Linked DNA regions of Ovis aries. The protein of the gene in region 2 purifies or fractionates together with the protein of the main gene of each other region. This does not show direct contact. Links are inferred from orthologs where the notes say so. Each region holds a gene or a part of one and is shown on either strand. Other genes may lie near its edges.

Region 1 (4,056 bases), on a different chromosome or scaffold from region 2:
CAACTTCACTACTAGACTGCTCCTTGACTCAAATATCATCCTTAGTGAAGCTTTCCCTAAATACCCCCATTTAAAGTAATATAAAGGGCAATGGAGAAAAGAAGGGAGATGAGTATTGGGGGTATTATCTCAATTGTTTTATTTATTATCGATTACTGTAGCTCCTCCCATGAGAATATCGGGGATTTTTGTCTTTTCAGTTCACTTTTATCTCTATAGTGGAAAATCAGTGCCTAGCAGACAGAAAACGCTCACGTTTCCTTCTAATGATAATAGAGCTAATAATGACACACAAAAAAAGTGAAAAAGTCAAAGTGTTAGTTGCTCAGTTGTGTCCAACTCTTTGTGACTCCATGGACGATAGCATCACAGGCTTCTCTATGGAATTCTACTGGCAAGAATACTGGATTGGGTAGCTATTCCCTTCTCCAAGGGATACTCCCGACCTAGGGATTGAACTGGGATTTCCTGCATTGCAGGCAGATTCTTTACCATCTGAGCCACCAGGGAAGCCCCAATAACTACAGGAGAGAGTGAGTAAAAGTCGCTCAGTCGTGTCCGACTCTTTGCAACCCCATGGACTATACAATTCTTGGCATTCTCCTGGCCAGAATACTGGAGTGGGTAGCCTTTCCCTTCTTCAGGGGATCTTCCCGACCCAAGTATCGAACCAGGGTCTCCTGCACTGCAGGCGGATTTTTTACCGAGAACTTATTAAACAGACCAGGCCTAGTTCTAAACATTTTACATATTTAATCGTCCTCATAATCCTAAGAAGAAAATACAATTACTATTCTTTTTACAGAAATCAAGGATGGAGGCTCAGAGAAATCAACTTTCCTAAGGTTCAGTTCAGTCGCTCAGTCGTGTCCGACTCTTTGCGATCCCAACCTCTTTCCTAAGGTTACACAGCAGTAAGTGGAACAACTATTTGAGGAATGAAATGAATGAAATTCGACTTCACAGCGCAGGGATGGAAATTGACGCTGTGGGAGCAGCTAGAATCAATTCACGCGACTGCGTGTAACTTTGAGCACACAACGCACGGTTTAACGCCAGGATCTAAAGGAGAATGAGAAGGTCCTTTGGGAACAGCGCGGCAGAGGCTCCACAGATCCACTGAACTGCCATGACCAGCCTCAGCGCAGAATGGAAGCAGGAAGTAGCGGCGGGCGTCGCGTGGGAGTGACGTCACGGAGGAGCCGGCGGGGAAGGGCGGGGGAGGAGGAGGAGGAGGAGGAGGAGCGAACCGGGCTTGGGGGGCGGCTGCACAGTCTCCGGGCTCCTCAGGCCTTGAGGGGGGTCTGCGCGCGGCCGGCTGGCTCTGCCCGCCCCCCCCACGTCCGGTCCGGAGCGGGCCTCCCTCGGGCCAGCCCGATGTGACCGGGCCCAGTGGAGCCTGAGTAAGGAGCCGGTTCGTCGCGGAGCCGGAGGGCGGGAGGAACATGACATCGCGGAGGTGAGGAGCCCCGAGGGCCTAGCCCGGGCCTCGGCCCGGCCCCCGCCGCTTTCAGTCAGCTCCGCCCGGGAGGGGGCGGCTCGGCTGGGCTTCGGACTCCTGCCCGGGGTCGCGGGGCAGGCTCCGTTCCAGCCCCCTAAGCCCTCCAGGGCCCCGGGGCCCGGCCCTAGCGCGCCCCCAACCCCTCGGGTCCTCATTCATTTCCTGCCTCCACGGAGTTCCGGCTCCCGCAGCCCTGGGGATGCCCGTCAGGACGGGGACAGGTAGAGCCGCCCGGGGAACCGCGGACGCTAGCGGCTCGGCTCGGCGCGCCGCATTCCTGACCCATTGCCTCATGAGAATTGCCTCATGGTGATTCCGAAATAACCCCGCTCACTTAGGGGAGGCTCCTCGGCCCGGGACGCGGGAGGGGAGAGGAGAGAGTTGCGCGAGGCCAGGCCGATAGTCGAGCCTTTTTGGGTCACTCTGCGTTTTGCGCGCATTTGGGGGCTTTACTCAGGGTCCTTGACCACTTTGTATGCCTCTTTGCATCTTCTTCTCCCCCCCCCCCCCACCCCTCACGTGCCAGAAATGGAAAAACTGACTATATCTGCAGCTATTAGAAGTATTTCCTTCCTCTGCGATCTTCGCTTTGGGAGGTGGGAGGGAAGGGATCGTATCTCTAGTTATTTTAATCCTTCACCACAACCTTAAAAGTCAGGTAACATTAATTACCTCCGTTTTACGGATGTGGAAACTGAGGCTCAGAAGAAACATACTGGTAAATGACAGGGTTTGAACCTAGAAGTCAGAAGGAAGATGAGTGAGTTAATGAGATCCTTGGAAAGTAGTATAGTAGACTATACTACTAATTGCTAACATTTATTTAGCTCTTACCGTATGCCAAACACATTTAATCCTTATAACCCTATCAGGTAGGTACTGTTATCCCGCTCTAAAGAGAGTAAATGAATTTCAGAAGTTAAGCAACTTGCCTAGTAGTTCTAGTGCTAGTGTTGGTCGCTCAGTCGTGTCCGACTCTTGCCTAAGGTCACTCAATCAGTAAGTGGTGGAGACAGAACCCCACTGTTAATTGCTATTATAACTATTGCCAATCATTTGTAAGCCTTAATTTTGTTGTTAAATATTAGTATGATTGATTGTTTTCAGATAATGATCCTGCTATTGTATTGTCATTCTGTATAGAATTCACACTGTCTTAGACATTTGGAAAACTGTTTCAAGCTGTTGGGGTTATTGACTGAGAAACTTCAAAACATTAGGAATGTCTTCTCAGAAATACACCTGCACATTATTCATTGATGGGATGAAAAGAGTGAAAGGAGAAAACTGAAAACTCAAGCAGTGAGTGATTTGGACAGGTCTTCTGGCAAGTGCTTACAGATCTGGGTAATATATAATTGCATTTCAGCAGAACAGCGTATAGCCTCAGATGTTCTAATTCTTTAGAGAGCGTTTAAATAAAACAGTTTTCTATTCTTTAATCTGTCAAATAGTCATTGAGCCTTTTGTTCCTTGTGTCTGCTTTTCCAGACAAGTAAGGATCTGCTTCTTTTAGGAGACAAAAAGTCTGGGGACTGGGGGTGGGGTAGGGGCTGGGTAGTAATAGACCCTACATTGTCCAGCTTGTTAATTTAGAAGCCAGGAAGTGTGAGAAGAGCCAAAGCAGCAAGTGGTAAAGATGACAGTTTGAAATGAAGTAATTCCTCCTCTCCTCTTCCGGCTCTCCCATACTTGTTTTGGAAGAGAAATATGTGCCCCCTAAGAAGTCAGATTATGATTGTAATGCACACACACACACACACACAAATGATTGTAATGCACGACTTCCCAGGTGGCTCAGTGGTTAAGAATTCACCTGCCAATGCAGAAGACTCAGATTGGATCCCTGGGTGGAGAAGATTCCTTGGAGAAGGAAATGGCAACCCTGTCCAGTATTCTTGCCTGGGAAATCCTATGGACAGAGGCGCCTGGCTGTCTGCAGTCCATGGAGTTGCAAAAGAGTCAGAGATGATTTAGCAACTAAATAACAACAACAACAGTGCACACAGTTGGGGATTATTTATTATTAGTTTTCAGATCATAGGTCTTTTATTATTTTTAAACCAGCTTTATTGAGGTATAAGTGACATGCCACAAATTCCATATATTTAAGCATACAATTTGATAAGTTTCCACACTTATACACTCAAGAAACCAGCAATACAATCAAGATAATGAATATATCCGTCACTCCTGTGATGGCTCCCGGAACCCTTTATAATCCCTTCCTTGTTGCCAGGCAGACACTCTTCTGCTTTCTGTCACTATATGTTAGTTTGCATTTCCTAGGATTTTATACAAGTGGACTTTTGTGTGTGGCTTCTTATGCTCAGCAGAATTATATTGAGGTTCATCTATGTTGTTGTGTATGGTAAATAGTTCCTTTTTATTGATCAGTGATATTCCACTGTATGCCTGTACCACCCTTCATTTTTCCATCCAGTTGTTGGTAGACATTTGGGTGGTTTCAGAGTTTGAAGTCAGGTGAAGTCGCTCAGTCGTGTCCAACTCTTTGCGACCCCATGGACTGTAGCCTACTACGCTCCTCTGTCCAT
Region 2 (4,354 bases):
TATTGAACCTACAGCTGGATTGTTTGGGGAAGGGAGGTCTTATCTTCTGTTCTCCATAAAGAGCAGCTTATACTCTTCATAAAGCATTTATGAAGCTCTTTATCCTAAAGAAGCTCTGTTCCCTCCCAGAGAGGAATTCTAATAGTGGTTTCTTTAATATGACCATGAGTTCTAACCCAGTAAGGTGTAGGAATCCTATCTAGATGGTAAACTCCTTGAAGGTAGATCCTGTACCTTATGCTTCACACGCATTCCCCTTTCCACATGACACAGTATAGCGCAGGGGGCACTCAATATGCACGTGGTGGACAAGTGATTTAAGTTAAATTAAATTAGGAGCCATAGAATGAAGCTTGGAGAAGACTGCCATATACCCTTTGGCTGGGAAATTCCATGGACAGAGGAGCCTGGAGGGCCACAGTTTGTGGGGTTGCAAAGAGTCGGACATGACTGAGCGTGCATGCACATACACAAAATAAGAAGGTCTCAGAAGGAATGCAGGGTCACCTTCTGAATGGCCCAAGGCAGGAGTGGAAGGGAACAATCAATGACCTACTTGGCAGTGCTTTATTATAGCCGAATGGAACCAGAAACAAGGTGTGCATCTGTGCTCTCAGCACCATCTGTGTTCCCATTTTCAAACCACCACTTCCTGTGGCAGGGACTCTGGCTCTTTTTGTTCTCCCTCTTTTTGCTCATATAGTGAGGCCCCTCAGGATGACGATGCTCAGAAATCAGATCAACATTGTTCTGGGGTCCACAGGTCCCGGTCTTTGTCCAAAAAGAATCCTTATCTGAACAGTCTTCTTTAAAAAATAAAAATAAAAAAATCATTAAAAAAAATCTTTATTGAATTTGTTACAACGTTGTTTCTGTTTTATATTTTGGTTTTTTGGCCAAAGGCACATGAGATCTTAGCTCTCCAACCAGGAATCAAACCCACACCCCCTGTACTGGAAGGAAAAGTCTTAACCACTGCCAGGGAAGTCCCTGAACATTCTTAAAGAGGAGACTTAGGACTTTCCCCCTCCGTGGAACCTCTTAGAGACAGCTGAGCAGGCTGGTTGAGAACTCCAGTGCCATTTATGAAGAGTTCTTTGCGTGAGTTTCCATCCTTTGGTCTTCTATTTGATTGGCTGTGCTTTAGACCTGATAACTCGGCAGGTAGCCACGCCTCTAAGGAAAAGGCTGAAGGGCCTTTTTTATTTATCTCTGAAAGTCTGCTGCCACAGAAACACAAAAGTCTCTCTCAAGTCCCCAAATTCTAATTGTTTAAGGGAAGATAAAGAAGAAAATAAAAAGGATCTGAGAAACAAATGTAGCTCACCCCAGGAGATACCGAGATGCTAATATAACGGTCTGAGAGCGCCATATCTCTTTCCGGCCTTTCATGTGGTCTGTCAGCAAGGCTGTCTGCCTGGAGCACATCAACGTGAAGAAGTCAGTCATCTTCAAGAGACACCTTTTTGTTGGTGGCAGCTTCCTCTCAGAATTGGGAGTGGGGGAAGGGTGGTCCCAAACCATACACTAATTTAAGATATGGCGCCACCCAAGTAAAAATTATTACACAGAGTTCTCAGCTTCCAGAAAAATCCCTCACACTTGCTATCCCACCCAGCATTGCGTTGCAGGGACGACTGGGTGTAACCCCTGGGGCCATTTTCATCCTTCCCCGACAAAGCAAGTCTTGTCCAGTCACATGACTGGCCAGCTAAGGACTCCATTTCTCAGCTTCCTGTGTAGCAGGTGTGGCCACGTGACAGGGCTCTGGTCCATGAGAGGGGACAGGTTTCATCCTTCCAAGATTGTTGCCATGTTTCCTGGGTTGGGAGTACCAGGGAGAGGGACTTGCCTGTACACAGAACAGCTAGATGACTCAGTAGCAATGGGAGCTCCCTTTTGATGAGATGGCCTTGTTAGAAAGGGGGAGCCCCCGGAGCTCACTGGCAGGCGTCAGATTTTCCTTCCACTGAGCTAACCTAGACTTGCTGAGCCAACCTTTTGCTAATCTACTGAAAGGGGTCCTCTTTTCAAAATGAGCTCCCAGGGGCATTCCCTCTGAGTTCAACTGTTTAAGGTTTAGTATTACTCACTACTGCACAGACAGAACTATTTCAGAACACAGTCATGAAAGATGGCAGCAAGTCACTCACTGTCCAGTGCTGACCCACATTAACATGACCTAGGAGAAGGCTTGGTAGCATCCTTGGATTTGTTTTTTTGTTGTTGTTGTTAGTCACTAAATCATGTCCAGCTCTTTGGGACCCTGTATACTGTAGCCTGCCAGGCTCTTCTGTCCATGGATTTCCCAGGCAGGAATACTGGAAAATACTGGTTGCCATTTTCTTCTCCAGGGAAATTTCTTGACCCAGAGATTGAACCCGCATCTCCTGTATTGGTAGGTAGATTTTTTTTTTTTTTCACCACTGAGCCACGAAGAAAGTACTTTGTAGTAAAGAGGCTTCATAACAATAGATATGAAGGTATTTCTTGCTGTAAAACACTGAGATAACAAGTGGAATAAAGATGAATATATGATGGAGAGCCTGGACAATTGTTAGGAAAAAAAGATCTTGAAAAACAAATACGTTCTTGTGTGGTTTAGTCTGAGTCCTGATGAGAACCAGTGCTGACATCATGTTACATTTGCTTTCATCACATCATTACCATTCGAATTTTTCATTAAGGAAAGTGAAAAATGTCTCAAGATCACTGTCCTTATTATAGATAACAAAGAGACCTCTAGCAAATCCTCATACCCCACCACATCATCCCAAGACTGGGATTTCCCTCCCTTGAATGAGATCTTTGTTAAGGGAACAACCAGTGCTCTGGCTCAGGACTCATCATCTCTTGATGGGTAACTGCAATAATGGGCCCTCCCCACAGCTAGTTTCTTTTTCTTCTGCTTCTTCCCCACCACAGTCTACTGTCCACACCACTGAAAATTCTCTCTGAAATGCAAAACTAATCACATTATCCTCTGTCTAAAACTATCTATTAGTTCCCATCAGAATACCATAGGACAATACAGAACAAGGCCCAGTTATATCTGCTTTTCTCTCTGCCTTGAGTGTCTTTCTCTTATCTGTTTGGGTAATTTCTATCTATTCTTCAACACCTAGTTTGTGTCACATTCTCCATGATGCTCTTTCTGATTCCCTGAAACAATGTCAATCATTCCCTCCTCTGGGTTAACTTGCACATATTTCTGTTTTGCCCCTATTGTACTACTTAACCTGGAATAATAGTTACTTATAGAGCTATTCCCTTTCTTAAGAGCAAAGAGTGTGTCTTTTTTTTTGTCTTTGTGTTCTCAGCACCTAGCACAACGTTGGAACATAGCAGAATCTCAGTAATGTTTTGTTTGTTGAACCAAGCATGGTATTTTAAAAATCAGTGATATTCTTTTGCAAACCCAAATCAACGAAATAATAAAATTCTGTTTTCCATATTTAGGCAATCTGGTGTACTGAAAATGGCATGCCACAGACTAGCTGTGTGATTTGGTTCTCGAATGCTGTGGTTCCCCATCCCTGGAGGCAGGGCAGGGGATCTCTATTTGTGTTATGGGTTGACTGTGTTTCCCCAAAAATTCATATGTTGAAGTCCTTAAAATGTGACCTTATTTGGAGACTGGGTCTTTACAGAGGTAATCAAGTTAACATGAGGTCATTAGGGTGGATCTGAATCTAATCTTACTAGTGTCCTTGTAAGAGGAAATCTGGACATACAAAGTCGCTAGGGATGAGCATGCAGAGACCACATGAAGACACAGCAAGAAGACAGCCATCTGCCGTACAGGAGGGAGCCCTCAGGAAAAAATCAACCCTTCCAACACTTTGATCGTGGACTTCTAGCCTCCTTTCTCCTGTGAGAAAGTAAATTTCTGTTATTTAAACCACCTCATCTGTGGTGTTTTTGTTATGGCAACCCTAGCAAAGTAATTATAGGTGGGTCCTAATCCAATATGACTGGTGTCATTTTAATAAGTGGAAATCAGGACAGATATACGCAGAGAGGGAAGACAATGTGAAGAGACAAAAGGAGAAGACAGTTATCTCCAAGCCAAGGAGAGAAGCATGGAACAGCTCCTTCCCTCATGGCCGTCAGAAGAAACAACACTATTGACACTTTGATTTTGAACTTCTAGCCTCCAGAACTGTGAGACAATAAACTTCGGTTATGTAAGTCACTGACTTTGCAGCACCTTTTTACAACACCCCTAGGAAATGAATATACAAACGGTAATCCTTCATTAGCATTTCTTATTAATGTACATAAAAATGGACTTATAGACTACTTACTCGGGAAAGAGCTTCAGGAGTTCACCCTTTTCAGTTTACATATAATG

What was found. The genes of interacting proteins can lie anywhere in the genome.
Region 1: the proteins of SLAMF1 (region 2) and PTPN11 purify together in Homo sapiens (affinity purification with western blotting; 3 studies listed by BioGRID and IntAct, with this or other methods). This does not show direct contact. The link is inferred for Ovis aries from reciprocal best matches to the Homo sapiens genes SLAMF1 and PTPN11.

The regions. Positions count from the first base shown.
Region 1 is NC_056070.1:61,963,560-61,967,615, reverse strand, and holds the start of PTPN11 (tyrosine-protein phosphatase non-receptor type 11), read left to right. Parts: upstream 1-1,238; 5' UTR 1,239-1,445; coding exon 1,446-1,459; intron 1,460-4,056. UniProt on the Homo sapiens protein: Acts downstream of various receptor and cytoplasmic protein tyrosine kinases to participate in the signal transduction from the cell surface to the nucleus. Positively regulates MAPK signal transduction pathway. Dephosphorylates GAB1, ARHGAP35 and EGFR.
Region 2 is NC_056054.1:111,728,871-111,733,224, forward strand, and holds the end of SLAMF1 (signaling lymphocytic activation molecule), read right to left. Parts: intron 807-4,354; coding exon 571-806; 3' UTR 554-570; downstream 1-553.